4 linked regions of the Ovis aries genome follow. The main gene of each other region encodes a partner of the protein of the gene in region 2 in a complex. Links are inferred from orthologs where the notes say so. Each region holds a gene or a part of one and is shown on either strand. Other genes may lie near its edges.

Region 1 (4,527 bases), on a different chromosome or scaffold from region 2:
CCTGGACACGGGTCCACAGAAGCTGGAGCCCACTTTACCTGCAGCTGGCCTCTGGCTCAAGATTTAAACAAGAACACAGCCCACCCATAAACAAACATACATAAAAAACCAAAAACAGATGCAAGACCAAACCAAACCCTCTACATCTATTAAAATGCTACTGTTTCTCCATTTCTCCTCTCCCCTGCCCTCCCTCTCTTATAGGAGGTGGAGATGTGGGAGCGTTTCAGGATGGGGAGGTGGGAAGACTTCAGAAATCTGCTCTGAGTGAAGAAATTGAAAGGGAGATGCCACAGGGATTTCCTTCTATATCTGGAACCAGTGTCAGTTTTTTACGGAACAAAGCCAGATGGAGTATTGGCTGCAAAAAAAACACCTTCCAACCCTAAGCAAAGGTTAGCTAGAAGACAGTGTTATTATGCAACTTAGAGATACAAGTGCCAAAAACAGAACAACAAAACTCTGGTCAGAGTTGAGAAGTGAGCACAGTGGTAATAACAACCCAGCGAGAAGAAACGGCCTCAGGATGGAGCCACGAGGCCAGTTCACATCCTGCTGGCCGGGAGCTTAAAAATCAGTTATTTCATGGTCCACAGCACTGCGGGACAAGGGAAGGGCTGATTCAAGACACAGACTCGCAGGGAGCACTGAGGAGACTGGCCCTCCACTGGGTGATGCTGAACTGATGGGCAGTGGCTGCAAAGGGAGGCAGCAGCGAAGCCCTAGGGGAGGTCAGGGAACAGGGAACGGTCTGGCCACAGAAAGCCTTTGGTCCAAGCCTTGCCTGTGCTTTCTCTTCTTCTTCTGTGAGGGGTTCATAAGCTCATCTGTGGGCAGCTTCAGGATAAGTGACTCTTTGACTGCAAACTGGAAGACCTGGAAGAGAAATCCAACAGGACCTGTTACCTCTTGAGCTGAGGGGTCAGATAAGTGACGTAGCCAGGTGCTGGTTTCTGGAGAGCTTGTGGGCAGATGTCTGAGCGTCTTTAGCAGGCACAGACAGAGAAGCACCGGGACACCAGGTTGCTGTTTCTGAAGCTCTTTGTTTCTGGTTGTGTTTTTGGTCTTGATTTGTTTTTGGGTATGCCATGTGATGTGCAGGACCTTAGTTCCCTGTTCCCTGACGAGGGATTGAACCCATACCCCCGGCATTGGGAACAAGGAGTCTTAACCACTGCATCACCAGGGAAGTCCCTGAAGTTAATTCTTAAGTGTTTATCCTGACTGAGCACAGGTACGGTTTTTCTGGTCAGTCGCGTTCATCTACTGCTCTGCCTTCCAATCCAGAGGGAGTCAATTCTTACCAACAGTATCTGCTTCTTATCAGGAAGGGCAGTGTTGTATACCTTGTGTAACTGAGTGATGTGACCTGAAGTACCACCCGGCTAAGCGCTAGCTCCCTCTGCTGGCATAAAGATGTTAGAGCCTTGACTATTATTTTAGCAGGACAGCATTTCACGAAGGCCTGGTCCCTTTTAACATGCTGTTTCCCTTTGAACATTTGTTTCTTAGCTTTTTCTTTTCGGTTACAGGCCCTCTCGCAATTCCATGAAAACTGTGAATCTTATATTCAGGAAAATAACACACAAAAATTGCTTTGTACACAGTTTGCAGGCTTTTAGATCAAAAACCTGTGCCTTGGGGAGATAGGTATGAAATTAAAAAAAAAAAAGGAATAGGGGACACGCCTTTTTCAAGGCATGAGCCTGCTGTGTCTCCTTTTGCCTGGCAAAGCAATAAAGCTATTCATTTCTACTTCCTCCAAAACGGCCTCTCGTGCCTTCTGAGATGGCTCACACTCCATCTATGGTGTTTTCCCCTTGAGTAAACCTTCTTTCACTTAAAAAGAAAAGAAAGCAAAGGGCACTTCAGCTCATGGTTCTACTACTTGTTCTAAATAGAGAGTACATGCAGAAAAGATTGCAGACTCTTCTGGAAAGTGAGGAGCTAAGCGAGGAGGGCTCAAGCTCTGGTGTTCCTGTTTGGACCAGTTGGCCCCAATACCTGACTCCCTATCCCTGTGCTTCAGTTTGTCTGCTCCCTGTAGGCTTCTCCAGCCTCCAAAACATCAGAAGCTGCTATCAGATGGTGATTCTAGTGATGATGTAAGTGAGATGCACAAGGTCCAGACCCAGCCATTAGGGGTGGTAATTAGGAAATCTAATGATAGAACATTTGAAGAATAAACAACTGAGAAGACTGACTTGGGGGGTGGTGGCAGCTGCAGCTACAGAAGCAGGAGCAGGGGTGTGAGAAAAGAAGATCCCCAGAAGGACCCAGGAGTGCCTTCCAGGAAATGGGTCCACATTTAGAAAGAAACGGAGAAGGAAACAGCCACCCACTCCAGTATTCTTGCCTGGAGAATCCTGTGGACAGAGGAGCCTGGTGGGCTGCTGTCCATTGGGTTGCACAGAGTTGGACACAACTGAAGCGACTTAGCATGTATGCATGCATTAGAAAGAAAGGCAAGAACACCACTGCCACCACCAAAAAAAAAAAAGAAAAAACCTAAGAGAGGGTAGAAACATCCAGAAGAGTTAGATAGTGGCTAGAGACAGAAGTAAGGATTCAGCAAGGAGAGCAGATCCTAAGTATTGCTAGGCCTGGTATTTGCAGAAAGCCCCCCAAGTTTGGGGAATCCACCTCCTGGTCCAGAAGCACAGGCTCACGAAAGACTGAACCTAAGACAGCTTCTGTCCAGACAGGCAGCCTTACAAAGTGACCAAAGGGCTCCCGGGGCAAGGACTTGTTCCCGTCCCCTTCAGGCAGTACCTGCTTACACGTCTTAGTCCCCAGAAGTCTGGCTATTGAACAGAAGTTGTTGAAGTAGGTGCCATGAAAGACTCGAAAAAGAGATTCTTCAGCCCCAGTCCACTCCACAGGCTCTGAGGGTGCTTCCACTACACAGAGCTGAGGTGGGGCTGGACTCGCCTTCTGTTTCGTGGGCGTCTGACAGCGAGAGTTCGCCTCTAAGAGAGAAAGGAATGAGAGAAACACAGAAGGTGGAATGCAGCTGGCCTCAGTGGTTTGCTACAAACTCAGCACTTCATTCTACACCAAAAGGTAGAAGAATTAGGAACGAAAATATTCCCTGTCTCTACTGCTTACAGGTGAACCTGTGGAAAGAATGAACAATTTAAAAAGGTAGTAATGTTAACTGTTACGGCATGATCCCGGGTTTACCTTGTGTAGCAAGAAGAGGTCATTTTCTGCTCACTGTACCTGAAGAACTGGAGGCCCAGTCATTGCCAGTGTCCCTGTCACTGTCCCCTTCTTTGGTCTCAGCCACAGCAGAGGCTGAAGTGTTGGAGCAGGAAGCATTGACCACGTGGTGCCTTCGCCGGCGACGCCCGGAGCACTTGGAGCGAGGGTTGTGCAGCATGGCGTACTCCTTTGCTCCTTCCTGCAGAGGTCATGTTACAGTTAGGAAGCAGAAACAGGCCACCATATCGGTCCCATCATCACAAACCATCTGCAATATCTGTGCTGACTTGCAACTTGACACTTTTTTTTTTCCTCTGTACCATATATGACCATGTGATAGCTTCTTAACAAACATCTTAAAGCTTACACACTTATCTCTTGACAAAGAGCTGCCCTATAATACAATCTTTACAAAGATATAATCTTTATATATTATGCACAGATGTTTCTATGCATCTTTGACTGTCCAGTGAGTCGTATCTTATACTCATTTGCTCACAAGCTGACTGGAATTTGAGAATACATTCTCCTGTAGATGAGAAAATGAGGGATGTGCTGAGAGCATGCAGCTAATTATTCCAGAACAGGTACAAGAATCAGGGCCCTTCATCCCCAGGCCTCACTGTTCTTTATGTTTTACCACACTTGTCTCTGTTTCAGCAAGAAAATATATAATCCTTAAATTTGTATAATATTACCACTCAATTGGTCATGTATGGATGTGAGAGTTGGACTGTGAAGAAAGCTGAGCGTCAAAGAATTGATGCTTTTGAACTATGGTGTTGGAGAAGACTCTTGAGAGTCCCTTGGACTGCAAGGAGATCCAACCAGTCCATCCTAAAGGAGATCAGTCCTGGGTGTTCACTGGAAGGACTGAGGCTGAAGCTGAAACTGCAATACTTTGGCCACCTCATGCGAAGAGTTGACTCATTGGAAAAGACCCTGATGCTTGGAGGGACTGGGGACAGGAGGAGAAGGGGACAACAGAGGATGAGATGGATAGATAGCATCACTGACTCGATGGACATGAGTTTGAGTGAACTCCGGGAGTTGGTGATGGACAGGGAGGCCAGGCGTGCTGTGATTCATGGGGTCGCAAAGAGTCGGACATGACTGAGTGACTGAACTGGACTGAACCCCTTAATTTAGGAAATTCCCTCCAAGTCAGTATTTTAAACTAGGATGAATATTTTATTACTTTATTACTTTACAGCTATGCTTTTTTTTTAAAGACCAGATAATTACTTAGCTGGATCATCTATCTTTTTGCTAGACTTAGTTTCCAAAGATTTTGAGCTGTTTCTGGAAACTAAATCTACAAGT
Region 2 (4,527 bases):
TTTTATCTAGAGGTACATAGAGTTGTTGAGATAGAGCCAGGGTCAGCAAATTACAGCCTGTGGAACTGGTCACCTGGTTTTGTTTTTGTTTTTTTTTTTGTTTCAATTATTTATTCTTAATACCAGAAACATTTTGTATTAGGAAATAGCCGATTAACAATGTTGTGATAGTTTCAGGTGAACAGTGAAGAGACTCAGCCATGCACATTCACGTATCCATTCTCCCCCAAACTCTCACTCTCATCCAGGCTGGCACATAATGTTGAGCAGAGTTCCATGTGCTATACAAGGGTTTTTGTTGGTTATGCATTTTAAATACAGCAGTGAGTACATGATCTTCCCAAAGACCTTGACTATCCGTTCCCCCGGAAACCTGTTTTTATAGATAAATTTGGGGGATACAACCTATGCCTATTCATTTACATATTGGCTGTGGCTGCTTTCAGAAAACAGGTAAACAGTTGTGCAAACAGCAAAATAGTAATCAAAATTGAGTGGAAGGATTGGGTTTGTTTGATCACTTGGTATAGATTTTAGACCTAAAATCTTCATTGTTTCAACCCTGATGGTATAAAGAAAAACGGGAACTTCTTTGTCAAGAGCTTCAGCAGTTCTTTGGACATTATTGTGGTCATTGATGTGTTTCCTTTTCAAAAGCAAATTATATTTCTTAACTGGGATTTCTTAGGCTGATGAAAACTTTTACACTTGTGCGTGGACATATGATAGTAACACAAGCCATCCTCTGCTGGCTGTTGCTGGATCTAGAGGCATAATTAGGATAATTAATCCCATAACAATGCAGTGCATAAAGGTGGGTTTTCTTGTTAAATTGTCGATCTGCTTCTTTTGTATGCACGCCTGTAAAAACTTGCCATGTTGAATTTAAAACGGAGTCAGTTTCTGTGCAGTTTTTAATTTGGTTTGTACTTTGCCTGTTGCTTCCTTTAGACAAGTCTTTTGAGACCTTTGTCATATTTGGGTCATGCAAATTAAGGAATAAATGGGAAAATTTTATCATTTGCACTGTTTTCTATTAAAATCATTTCTGTTCTTTTGCTTTATCCTGAGAAGCTCTAAATGAACAATAACTAAAGAGTGAGCTCATTTTTCAAGAACCCCTAAATAGGAGTATGGAGTCAAGGATACTTTGTAAAGAATTAAAAAGTGAAGCCTTGGAAGTTGATACTAAAAGAAATTTTACAAATCACTTTAACTCTGGGGGCACATTAGAATCACCTGAGAATCTTTTAAATCCTTGCTGTGGCTCAGAATATCTGCAAATGGGACTTCAGTGTCATTTATTTTTCCTTCAAGCTGGGTGATTTTAATATGCAGCCAAGGCTGAGAACCACTACTTCAAGTGAAATTATTTTTCCATTCTTTGAAGATTAGTGAAAATGAATTTATTGATTTTTATATGAAAGTTGAAGTGTCTTAAATTTATTATAGCACTATGTTGGCCATGGAAATGCTATCAATGAGCTGAAATTCCACCCAAGAGATCCAAATCTTCTCCTGTCAGTAAGTAAAGGTAAGAGAAACAAATATTTCCTTGTATAGTTGTATTTATTTGGGAGTGAGTTGGGTTTTTTGTTTGTTTAGTTTTGTTTGACTTCGGGACAAACTAATCTAAGGGAAATTTCCAAATTTAAAACGAAGTAAGTTTTAGAAAAATTTTGGGCTACATTAGCATCCCCAAACCAAGAACTGGAGAATGGGACCATGAAGTACACTGTTCCTGTAAGATGTAGATAAGATAATTGACACTGAGGATTAGATGTATGTTACCCTTATTTACCATATTGCATTATGATTGTTCTAGAACTTTATCCTCAATTGAATTATCATACTAAACTGTACTAATTTTAATGGCAGGTCACTGAAGTTGCAACATTTTTAGTAGTTTGAAGGTAGTCTAGCAAATTTCTGATGCTTTCCAACCATGTAATAAGAAATAGTGTATCTGAAAATCCATGATGCTTTTTTTTGCCTCTCTCTATAATGCTTCTATTTTATAAAAGATTCCCTACAGGATTCCTTAAAATGCTAAGTTATCCAGTGTAAGCTCTTCTAAATGTTTTCCTTCCTTACAAAGAGAAAGCATTGTCTTGCTCTGTATGCCCATGTTGGCATTGTAAGTTTATTTTGGGTTCAGACAGGCCTCTGAATCATTCTTAAATTTCTGAGCTCTCTAAAGTGATTTGAGTTGTTCTTATTTCTACATTCTGTTTTTTATTGCCCTTTCTCTTTTCATTTCTACATTATTATTCTAGTCAAATGTATTCTTTTCTTAACAGCTATCACACCTATAACCTAACCCCCATATTAAAAGATATCCTCAAATTAAAACTCTTACATGAAAAATATTTCAATGTGATTTTTCAACTATCAAGGCTTGTTTGGAAATAGACACCTAAGAAGAGAGCTGACAACTTTTTCTCTTCTGTTAATAACAGTAACTGGGCTCAGATATTCTTTTACAGGTAACATAGACCATAATGCCTTACTTGTTCTTAATGTCACAGTTTCCTAATCTTGCTCTTCCCCCATTGTGTTAGAGCATTTTTCAAACAGCTTTTCAAAATGAACAGGAATTTTTCTGCAAGTAAAACTCTCAAGAAAGGGAAAGACAACTTATAGGAAAAAAAAAGATATGCAAAGTGTGTATCTAATAAGGGACTTAAATCAAGAGGTCATATAGTTCAGTAATAAAAAGACAACCAAATTAAAAGCAAACAAAGGCTTTAAAAGTAGACATCTTTTGAAAGAATAGGCAAGAATGTCCAATAAGCACATGGAAAAGCACTCATTGTTAATCACTGCTGCTGCTCCTAAGTCGCTTCAGTCGTGTCTCACACTGTGTGACCCCATAAACGGCAGCCCACCAGGCTACCCCGTCCCTGGGATTCTCCAGGCAAGAACACTGGAGTGGGTATTGTTAATCATTAGGGAAATGCAAATCAAAAATACAGTGAGATAACCACTTCACACCTACTAGGATGATTGCAGTGAAAAAGACAGTAAAATAGGGAACCCCTTCATCCATTGCTGGTAGGAATGTAAAATGTGTAAGCACATTGAAAAACAATCTGGCAGTTCCTTAAAAAGCTAAACATAGAATTACACTCCTAGGTACGTGTATCTTCAAGAGAAATGTAAATGTCTGCACAAAAACTTGGATGCAGATTGAAATCATTGCTACAAAAAGAAATCATTTTTGTAGCAATGTTTATTTCCACTACTAACAATATGTTGTATAATATGTTAATATTACACAGTATAGACATTGTTATATTTCAAACTCTGCTTGGTATTTATGAATATTGCTTTCTATTTATTTTGTTGCTGATGTTCAGTGGAAAATGAGATTGCTCAGATTACAGTTATAGAATTTTTGAAAGGTCCATAATACTCTAAATAATGTCCCAATATGTGTATGTTTCAATCATATTTTTAGATTTACTGTAGAGATCTTATAAATCTACTTGTCCTCTTCAATTTGTAAATGTGGGTATGGTAGAGGGAAAAACTAGTACCCTTGAAAGTTTGAACTCATACCTAGTTAAATCTACAAGTAATATAAATATTTTAAGTTCCTATACGATATGGATTCCTTCTTAGTCATTACTGTGAATGAGTTAAGTCCAAACTTTGGTAGTTTTTTCTTTAAAGAGATATTAAAAGTCCACAGTAAATGAATGATAAAAGTTTATGTTAATTTTTTTATGTCTGTACTAGATCATGCTTTACGATTATGGAATATCCAAACGGACACTCTGGTGGCAATATTTGGAGGTGTAGAAGGGCACAGAGATGAAGTTCTAAGTGCTGTAAGTTGAAAGCTACAGGGCAGTGACCTTCAGGTTACAAAGCTGTGAACAATCCCTATAAGAAAGCACGTAGTTTGTTTCATGTAGCTTGGCAGGCAGTTATTTCATTTACTGTGACAGATAAGGTTTTAACTTAAAGATGAAGAAATAAAGCAAGTAGGCTCTTGGTGTTTTATCTGTACTCTTGCACGTGTTTTACCAGCACCTGGATTCTCATGAAAGAATTCTGTGAACTTGTTCTTTTCCTTTTTTAATCTAAAATCACCAAGTTACCTTTTGTTGTTTCTCAGTTATTAAAGGAAAAGGTTAACCTACTTGGCAATTAAGAAATTTTTTCACCTTTTATTTGAAGTTGAAATATAAGTTACTCATTTCTAGGAGGTATTGTTCACACTGACTTTTAGATAACTTCCCTTTGATGGCATGGTGTTGTCTTTATGCTTTGTATTACAATCTGTTGATCTGTTGTAGTGATATTAAGTGTTTTTAGTTAAGTTTCAGATTTTGTGTTGTTTAGGTTTATTTACCTTCTCTGTGTAGCTTACTTATTTAGTAGTCTTACAGCTCTTCAGCTTTTTTTTAAACTATTTTTAAAGGGCATTATATTTTGAAGCATGTGATATTTTAATTGGAGGTACTAAATATTCCTATATGCTTTTGTGAGAATCATACCTACCTTAAAGGATTTTCTAGA
Region 3 (4,527 bases), on a different chromosome or scaffold from region 2:
GAGCAGGAAGCGGGCCAGGCGTGGCGGCTGCATGGGCTCACGTGAGCAGGCATCCTCAGCGCCTCCCGGCCCACCCTCTGCACAGCGAGTGGTCTCCCGGAGGTGGAGCTCTGCCGTTGGGGATTAGGAATTGGTCTGGTTCCCCAGCGTGATCCTTCACTGTCAGGCTCTTCAGCCCCGCTCCGAGCTGGCTCTTCAGCGCCTTTGTTGATGGCGGCAGATGGGAAATCACTGCAAATGATCAGATGTCTTGTTGTCTGATGGGCTACCGGCATCGCATCCATCCCACACTTACTCAGTTTATTGTCCTAGTGGGGTGATTAGCTCCTTTGTTAAAGTCCTAGAGCCGATGTTCTTACTCCAAGGAGCTGGTGTCGGCAACAGTCTCATCACGGCTCCTCCTGCGTTTGGGCTGCCTCGGGGCAACGGGCCGTCGGTGTCGGAGCAGGCAGGCCCTCTGCTGGGTTTCCTGTGGTGGGGCCAGGGTCTCAGGCAGCGTGGAGGGTCGAAGAGCTGCATAGACTCAGGGGGTGTGAGCCCCCTGCCCTGTGCCCCTGGTCCTTCATCAGAAAGTGGGGCCACGTGGCCTCGGCCCTGCAGGGAGACAGGGTGAGAGGCTGCGGCCTGCGTGCTGAGTGACTGCTGAGTGAGAGGCAGGGGACGTAAGGCTCTGGAACCTCTGTGCTGCAGGGACAGGTTGCCAGAAAGGATCAGAGGACTTCACGGTGTGGTTTTTCTTAAAACGTGTGAGTGAGGTTAGAAACTCTGGACTTAAGTCAGATCAGCAATAGAATATGTTGGTGTTGAGACAACAAGCCTCTCGAAGAACCTTGACTAGGTTAGTAGTAGTGAGGACCCCCGCCCGGTAGACCGCTCATCACGGGTGCCCTCCCCGCCCAGCCTAGGGGAGGTGGGGACAGGCAGCCTGAAGCCCCGCACGTAGCTGTGGGGAGGGCAGGGGGTGGTCAGCTGTCCCCTCTAGCCCGTGGACGGCAGGGCTGGGAGTCCCAGAGCAAGAGACCAGGAGGAGCCTGCCTCTGTGCAGACCACTGCCACCAGCGTCTCGAGCGCTGTAGGCGACAGGTGTGTCCCCCGGGGTCCTCCTGGGACCCGAGTGGTCACTGCCTCCCTCCTGCTCCCCGGCCTGCACTGAGGGTCCTGGTTCTTCGAGCTGAGCTGAGGCCGCGTCCTCTCCCACCGGCCCCGCTGGGCTCTGGCCCCAGTCAGCGGGGGCTGTGTTGTCTGAGCCCCACCCTGCGGGGCTGCTCCCTCCACCTTGTAGAGGCCCTTGGTGTGGGTGGGTTCCACGCTGAGCCCTGGTCCCGCCCTGTCCTCCATCTGCTGGAGAGAAGGGTCAGGTGCCAGCCCAGCAATAAGTGCCCGCTCTGGAGGCTCACAAGAGGCTGTTGAAGCTGCGGACATGTCTGGATCTGATTTATAGGGGCTTTAAATGTCTGGTTTTGGTCTGAAGGCTGCATGGCTTGGGCATAGGTTGGACCCGCATGCAGGTGGGCATGCTCGTCACGGGGCATAAGCGGCAGAGCTGCCCAGAGAGACCCAGGGCCACTGGGCACATGCCCACCTCCCTTCCTGCAGCTGAGGCCGGTCTCCAGGCAGCTGTGGGCCCCTCTTTCTGGGGGAGTACGGAGGGCGGGCTCCCTGGGGAGGGGCCTTGTCAGCAGCCTCCGCCCTGATTCCAAACCGCCCAGGTATTGCATTCCTGCTGAGGAGGAACACAAGCTGGAGGACGTGGTGCACACTCTGCTGCAAGCCAACGGCACCCCTGGCCTGCAGATGCTCGAGAGCAACGTCATGGTAGGGGCCGCGGGCTGGGGTGGCGGGGCCACAGGCTAGGGCGGCGGGGGCCGTGGGTGGGGGCCGCGAGGCGGTTTCATTTACTCACCCCTCGGCTGACCTGCCCTGCAGAACTAGAGGACCGTGAACAACCAATCCAGGGAGCCATCGTAAAAAAAAAAAAACTCTTTTATGGAAACACAACTAAAGCATGCTCCTCTCATTGCCCAGGATGTGGGGCCCTTTGACTCCGTTTCGGGCCTGGTGGGTTTGTAAATGGCGACTGGGGTCGGGCCAGGCACCTGCACGCTGGGCAGGATCACTGAGGGCTGAGAGCAGAGGCAGCTGGACCAGTTCTCAGAGCCTGTTGAGTCCTGTTGTGTTCTGACAGCCTGATCTCAGGTCTTCTCTGGCCTCTGCGGCCCTTGTCGGGGTCTTCTCTCCCAAGCCCATAGCCGCCGTGCGGCAGGGATCCAGGGCTCTGCTTGTGAGGGTCCCTGATCACCGCTGCCGTGCCCTTGTCTCAGGCGTTGCCCCTGGGCCTGTATCAGTTTAGAACTTCCTCTTCCTTCACTTAGGGGTCACGTCTCTTTTATTTTCTAAAAGAGAAACAGAGAATCTGTAATACAGGACATACTCCGGGTGGGGAGCAGGCTTCAGCCCCGACGCCCGTCCGGAGGGCCGGTGTGCTGGGCCGCTGCCGCAGGCGGTCCTCACGGAAAGCGGGGCAGGAGGCGGGTGGCTCAGCGCCACGTCTCCGCAGATCTCCCCGGAGGTGCTGTGCAGGGAGGGGATCAAGGTGCACAGGACGGTGCAGCAGAGTGGCCAGTTCGTCGTCTGCTTCCCGGGATCCTTCGTGTCCAAAGTCTGCTGTGGCTACAGCGTCTCCGAGACCGTGCACTTCGCCACCACCCAGTGGACGAGCATGGGCTTCGAGACGGCCAAGGTAGGCAGGTGGCCACTCCGCACGCGGCCCGGCGTCCCCCAGTGGGGGTCTTGTTTGTAGATACAGCCTAAGGCGGCTGAGAAGCTCGTCTGGGGAGGGAGAGTGGCTCCAGGCTGGCTAGCCTCCTGTAAGTTGCTGAGTTCTCTAGCTCAGCCCTGGGCCGTCGCTGCAGAGGTGTGAAAGGCGAACCCTGCCTTTGGCTGGCGGAGGACCTGGGGTCTGCGGTCTTCCTCGGGGGAGACAAGATCATCGTGTGGTTTTTGCGTTGCTTTTCATCCAAATGGAATTCAGAATTTGAAAATTCAGATAGCACCGCCTCCCCAATAAAGGAAACCCTTGATAGCTGCCTAGAAATGAAAACCTGCCCTGAAGGGATGTGACTGCCTCTTTCAGGAGATGAAGCGTCGCCATATAGCTAAGCCATTCTCGATGGAGAAGTTACTCTACCAGATCGCACAAGCGGAAGCAAAAAAGGAAAACGGTTCCACTCTCAGTACCATCTCAGCCCTTCTGGACGAGCTCAGGTAACACGAGACAGTTCTAGGCCGGCCCATCTAGGCTCAGCCAGGCATGGTGAGGGTGCGGTCCGTCCTTTGTGGGGAAGCGCTGGCCTCCTCTTCCTGGGGCTCGGCCGGAGGCTGAAGGCTGCAGGTGGTGGCTCTTCGGCGCTTGGCCGTGTGCCCCGTGGTCACAGCAGGCAGAGTGTGGCCGTCCAAGAGGCCTTGGGGCAGGTCTGGCCTTTTGACTTGGGTGCCCAACTGAGGACCCCAGCCCCTGTGGGCCAGCTGACCCCCGGTGTCCTGGCAGGGATACGGAGCTGCGGCAGCGGCGGCAGCTCTTCGAGGCTGGCCTCCACTCCTCCGCCCGCTACGGCAGCCACGACGGCAGCAGCGCAGCGCCCGACGGCAAGAAGAAGCCTCGGAAGTGGCTGCAGCTGGAGACCTCGGAGAGGCGATGCCAGGTGTGCCAGCACCTGTGCTATCTGTCCATGGTGAGCCCCGCGCGTGCCCCGCCCGGCCTCCCCGCAGGCTGACTGTGGGGATGCGGCTGCCCCGCCCAGCCTCCCCGCTGGCTGACTGTGGGGATGCGGCTGCCCCCGCCCGGCCTCCCCGCGGGCTGACTGCGGGGACGTGGCTGCCCCCGCCCGGCCTCCCCGCGGGCTGACTGCGGGACACGCGTGCCCCGCCCGGCCTCCCCGCGGGCTGACTGCGGGACGCGCGTGCCCCGCCCGGCCTCCCCGCGGGCTGACTGCGGGGATGCGGCTGCCCCAGTCACTTTCCTGGCCTCCCCGCGGGCTGACTGTGGGGACGCGGCTCCCTGGCTTTCCTGGCCTCTCCTTAGCTTTCCTGGCCTCTTGAAGCTTCTGTTCAGCTGCGCGGTTGCTCTGGTTGCCCCAAGGACTCTGAAGTCTGTCTGGTAAAGCAGCACTTCCCATTCCCAGCTTTCCGTCCCTGGTCGTGGCTGGAAACCAGCGCAGTCCAGCCCTTCTGCCTTCTCTCTCGGCTGTCCCGCAGCCTCCACGATGGGCTTGTCTGACCCAGCCGGGGGCTGAGTTACACGCCTCACGCTCCTACACCCAGCCCAGCCCCCTCCCGCCTCCTTCAGGCAGTGGCTCCCCGCACAGGTCTCTGTAGCTGTTGTAGTTAGCCAGGGCTGCTGTACTGCACTACTGACTGCTGCCGTGAACAGCAGAAACGTCTCTCTCATAGTTGTAGAGGCTGGGAGTCCCGGGTCAAGGTGTCAGCAGGTTGGTTCTCCCTGAGGCGTCTCCTTGGCATGTAGACATC
Region 4 (4,527 bases), on a different chromosome or scaffold from region 2:
CACATATAGCACATCTTCATCCATTCACGCACTGATGGACACTTAGGTTGTTTCCATGTCATGGTACTGTAAAGAATGCCACCATGAACATGGGGGTGCATATATCTTTTCAAATTAGTGTTTGTGTTTTCTTTGTATAAATGTCAAAGTGGGATTGTATCATGTGGTAGTTCTATTTTTACTTTTCTGAAGAACTTCCATAAATACTGGGTTGGGCAAAAAGTTCATTCAGGTTTTTCTATACCATATAATGAAAAAACCTGAATGAACTTTTTGGCCAACCCTGTATTTTCCTTGGTGGCTGCAAAGAGGGTGCTGACTGATTTAAACAGAAAAGGAATTAATTGGAAGGGCATTATGTAGGGTAGCTCACAGAATCACTGTGATGGCAAGAAAATAGCCTGGAAAAGAGGAGAGGCCGGGTTGTTGACCCAAATTAGGCCAGTGAGGATGTTACTCTTGCCATCCCTGGAAAGTGGATGTAACACTCCCCATGCCCCTCTACCCTGTCATCAGAACAGAGTCTCTGAAAGAAAGCCTTCTTCTGTTTCCCTCAGAGTGGGCATAGGATAGTCTCCCACACAGGGAGGATGGGTTATACTCAAGAACTTAATTACTAGTACTTTTTGAAGACACCAGGCTGGGAGTTGCTAGTCATAATTAATAGCTGACGTTTCCTAAGGGCTCCACATATGCGAGGCATCTTGGTAATTTTCCCAGGATCTTTCTGAGGTGAGGAGCAGGTAATAGTTCGACACATTCCACCTTTTCCATGCATGTAAATTGCGTCCAAATGTGTGAGTATCAACAGAGACTAAGGGCCACATGTATTGTGTAACAGAAACCCTTTCAGATAATAAAATGATTGATGAAGAGAGGAAGCTGATACTAGTGTCAGTGGAATTAATTTGAATATACCTTAATGGAATTACCTCTTACTCCATTGAGGTGACAATCACTGCCCTATACTTTGCAATATTTTTTCATAGAAACTTCAGACTCTTCTCAGCTATTTTTATGACGAGATGTTAAGAAAAGACTCAAACTCTCAAAGCCTGCGGATCTGTAACCTTTGAGGTCTGGGCAGGCCCTGTGGTCTCTTCAGTAGCCTTGTAGGGGTTTCTAGGTTGTTCAGCTGTTGGCACTTGCTGATGTATGTAGTGGTTTCTGCTGTGAAGTGACAGCTGTCCAAAAGCTTTCACTTTTTAAGAAGCATGTTTTAGTTTTAATTCCCAGTTTCCCAGCCCAGCATGAAGTTTTAAGATATGCATTTCAGTTTGGTGGATATTGAACCCCAGGCTCGTGTTGTGTAATCTAGGTGAATTTTAGATACTTGATTGAATGTATGTAGGTGGAAACTCAAACCAGAATGTTTCTTGCCTGCCACCATGCTGTCCTCCCGTCCCCATTACACTGTATTTTCCTTCCCCTCTGCATCTCAGATTGTGGAAGCTACACCTGTACACTTTGCTGTTTATGAAACTTCACTTTTTTAAAAAATTTTCATATAGTAAGTAGCTTTGTTTTTAATAAAGAGTTTTAAATAAGGTGTTAGCATTTAAATTCAGTCTCTCATAACTGACTCTTGTTTTGTTCCTTCTTCAGACTGTCTGTCTGTGGGATATTAATGCAGGACCAAAGGAAGGCAAAATTGTGGATGCTAAAGCAATTTTTACCGGCCACTCGGCTGTTGTAGAGGATGTGGCCTGGCACCTGCTGCATGAGTCCTTGTTTGGATCTGTTGCTGATGATCAGAAACTTATGATGTAAGGTGGAAAATTGAGTGGGGTTTTGTTATATGGGTGTCCTGAATGACCATCAGTGATTGTGGTGGCTTTTAAATTGTGTCTTGGCCTTCAAAAAAAGAAAAACAGCTTTAGTGAGGTATAATTGACATGAGAAGCTATAAATAGGGATGGCCTTTTTACGTAAAAGTTACTGTGCTGTATGATTGAACACAACTTTTTATTTAGAAAAAGAAAAAAACAGGTACGTGCACATGAGGAAACATGCTTGGGGCAGTGGTATGTATCAAAATCGGGGATCAGGGTAACTTGCCTTGAAGTTGAGGGAGGAGAGTGATTGTGCATCAAGGCATGGCTACAGGGCTGCATTCAAGCACCTGGAATGCTTTTTATCTCATAAACTAGCATCTGAGGCAAACAAAGCAAAATACTGAATTTGACTAGGCTAGGTTATAGATATGAAACAGTAGTCTCTAGTATTTTGTGCATGCTTGAAATAGTTGGTAATCCAGATAGGGACGTAATGAACAAGAAAGCAGAGGTAGCCCTAGTTTGTTCTGTGCAGGTTTAGAGCATATCACCTAGTGGTTGGAAGTCCAAGTTGCCAACTCTGCATGGTTAGTGTCCCTGAAAGGCAAGTTAGCGAGAGAGGAGTGGCATGGAGTGGTGCTGATGTGGGCACAAGTGTTGGGGAGGGAGGTGGGGCAGGGTTGAGTGGCCTGCTCTTGCGCTGTGTGCCTTGTACCTTTGTGTTTTAGATGGGACACTAGGTCCAACACCACCTCCAAGCCGAGCCACCTGGTTGATGCGCACACTGCCGAGGTCAATTGCCTGTCCTTCAATCCCTACAGCGAGTTCATTCTTGCAACTGGCTCTGCGGATAAGGTTTCTAAGTTTTTGCATATTTGGTGTTTACAAACCTACTTGTCTTTGTTACTACAATATTTTAAAATTCTTATGTAAAGTGCAGAAACAAATTCCTTTTCATTTTATTTTTCTTCAGACTGTAGCTTTATGGGATCTGCGTAACTTAAAATTGAAACTCCATACCTTTGAATCTCATAAAGATGAAATTTTCCAGGTATGTGACAGTTTTCTGGTGTCTCTGTCAGATTTTAGTAACTTTTTACTAGAGAGAAGTTTATAAATTTTTTTCTTTTACATAGTGGACTTGGGACATTGGGTTTTTGTTTTGTTTTTGGCTATGCCATGTGGCTTGTGGGATCTTAGTTCACCAACCAGGGATTGAACCCTGGCAGTGAAAGCCTAGAGTGCTAACCATTGGACCACCAGGGAATTCCCTGTGTTTGTTTGTTTTTTTTTTTTTAAAGCTCCTTGCCTACTGTGTAAGTAAACTAGTGAGAAATAACTTGGAGATTTCTAGATATTGTTAGTTCAGAAGTAAAAGGAACAGTCTTTGCAAAATAGGATCAGTTTAAAAAGTAAAGATAGTTTCCTGGTAGTCTAGTGGTTAGGATTCAGCACTGTCATTGCTGTGGCCTGGTTTAAATCCCTGGTCATGGAACTGAGATCTCAGAAGCTGAGCAGTACAGCCAAAAATAAGTAAATTAATTTTTTAAATGAAATCTTATATATGGTTTAAAATAGAGATGTGCATAGGCTAAGGTACACTTCATGTTAAAAGAAATGTTAAAAGCTTCTGGGGTGGTTTGGGAGCTAAGTTTATTGGGAGCCCTAGCAGAGTTACCCTTGAGGAATATGACCCTCCCAGGGGAAGGCTGAAGAGATGTTTCATTTAAGAGCACCTGAAGGGACAGCACAAAGAGTGAAGGCTTGTAGGCCAAGCAAAGGGTACAGAAGATGAAATGGGAAAATATCTAGGATTAGAACAACAGCCACAGACCCAGTAATGGATGATTCTTTATGTTTTCAAATATGTGTTGCTAGGTCCACTGGTCTCCACATAACGAAACCATTCTGGCTTCAAGTGGTACTGATCGCCGCCTGAATGTGTGGGATTTAAGGTAACTCAGGATCTGGTGACAAAAATTGCATAAATATGCTAATATAGCAGATTATGTAATAATTCATAGACTAGAAGAGCGATTTGCTAACCCCAGTTTAATAAGTCTAAAATTAATCTTCAGTACCTTCCTAAAGAGTCTGTTCCATAAAATAGAAGTGAATCAGCAAATGGAATGTGAAAAAAATTGATGCAAATGTGAGTTTTGATTTTCTTTGTAATTAGGACTGAAGTCAGGGTTAGGGGTGCATGTGTGTTTTAACATCCAAACAATGGTATTGAAAAAACTCTTGCTATAGAAAGGGGTAAAGACGTCAGCTGTTTGTGTCTCCTTAGATTTCAACGTACATCTGCAGGACTAATCTTTTTCAGTTGTTTTTTTCCCACAGGTATGAGCTCTTCCTGTGGGTTGTGTAACTGCTGAGGATGAGAACAGGATAAGCACAGCCAATGCCATCAGAGCTTATGTTCTTCTGGGGGTTCATTATGGAAACAGTTTCTCCCAATTCTTAAAGTTCCTTGACTGCAGGGTTGCTATTCTAAGAATTTCAGACTGTTCGCTTTTTTTTGAGCTTTTAGAGCCATTAATAATGTTGCTGTATTATGTATCTCTCCGTAGAGATGTTCTTATCTGGAATCTAAATCATAGCATTTCCCAAAATAACTTCTTTCCTACCTGTATTGCTTTGAAGTGGACTAAGTGTTTAGTCAAGGCTGCCTTAATTACAAAGACAGTATACCCACTTTTCAGTGTATGGAACAGTAAAACTGCTAAACTGCTAATGTTCTGTGTTCTTA

Evidence for each region.
Region 1: the proteins of EED (region 2) and EZH1 are in contact, whole or in part, in a cryo-EM structure (PDB 7KTP), measured with the Homo sapiens proteins. The link is inferred for Ovis aries from reciprocal best matches to the Homo sapiens genes EED and EZH1. Residues at the interface, in NP_003788.2 of Homo sapiens: Cys84, Val85, Asn86, Ser87, Leu88, Lys89, Glu90, Asp91, Trp103, His104, Ser105, Lys106, Glu107, Val112, Arg120, Leu123, Tyr124, Gln129, Gly130, Glu131, Ile132, Arg133, Leu134, Leu135, Gln136, Ser137, Tyr138, Val139, Asp140, Tyr154; in NP_001982.2 of Homo sapiens: Gly37, Ala38, Lys39, Leu41, Tyr42, Val43, Asn45, Phe46, Lys48, Val49, Gln50, Lys52, Thr53, Gln54, Leu56, Asn57, Glu59, Trp60, Leu63, Arg64, Val65, Gln66, Pro67, Val68, Gln69, Ser70, Met71, Cys83, Thr84, Ile85.
Region 3: the proteins of EED (region 2) and JARID2 are in contact, whole or in part, in a cryo-EM structure (PDB 6C23), measured with the Homo sapiens proteins. The link is inferred for Ovis aries from reciprocal best matches to the Homo sapiens genes EED and JARID2. Residues at the interface, in NP_003788.2 of Homo sapiens: Pro95, Phe97, Tyr148, Arg306, Asn307, Tyr308, Cys324, Asp362, Ile363, Trp364, Tyr365, Arg414, Asp430; in NP_004964.2 of Homo sapiens: Pro109, Gln114, Arg115, Lys116, Phe117.
Region 4: EED (region 2) and RBBP7 share a complex: the UniProt entries of both Homo sapiens proteins name them as parts of the PRC2/EED-EZH2 complex. The link is inferred for Ovis aries from reciprocal best matches to the Homo sapiens genes EED and RBBP7.

What each region holds. Positions count from the first base shown.
Region 1 is NC_056064.1:42,498,215-42,502,741, forward strand, and holds part of EZH1 (histone-lysine N-methyltransferase EZH1), read right to left. Parts: intron 3,404-4,527; coding exon 3,223-3,403; intron 2,970-3,222; coding exon 2,773-2,969; intron 877-2,772; coding exon 785-876; intron 1-784.
Region 2 is NC_056074.1:8,802,207-8,806,733, reverse strand, and holds part of EED (polycomb protein EED), read left to right. Parts: intron 1-688; coding exon 689-814; intron 815-1,452; coding exon 1,453-1,534; intron 1,535-3,741; coding exon 3,742-3,833; intron 3,834-4,527. UniProt on the Homo sapiens protein: Polycomb group (PcG) protein. Component of the PRC2/EED-EZH2 complex, which methylates 'Lys-9' and 'Lys-27' of histone H3, leading to transcriptional repression of the affected target gene.
Region 3 is NC_056073.1:40,683,130-40,687,656, reverse strand, and holds part of JARID2 (protein Jumonji), read left to right. Parts: intron 1-1,709; coding exon 1,710-1,815; intron 1,816-2,557; coding exon 2,558-2,740; intron 2,741-3,133; coding exon 3,134-3,264; intron 3,265-3,547; coding exon 3,548-3,731; intron 3,732-4,527.
Region 4 is NC_056080.1:15,051,827-15,056,353, reverse strand, and holds part of RBBP7 (histone-binding protein RBBP7), read left to right. Parts: intron 1-1,605; coding exon 1,606-1,766; intron 1,767-2,503; coding exon 2,504-2,630; intron 2,631-2,748; coding exon 2,749-2,826; intron 2,827-3,653; coding exon 3,654-3,730; intron 3,731-4,527. UniProt on the Homo sapiens protein: Core histone-binding subunit that may target chromatin remodeling factors, histone acetyltransferases and histone deacetylases to their histone substrates in a manner that is regulated by nucleosomal DNA.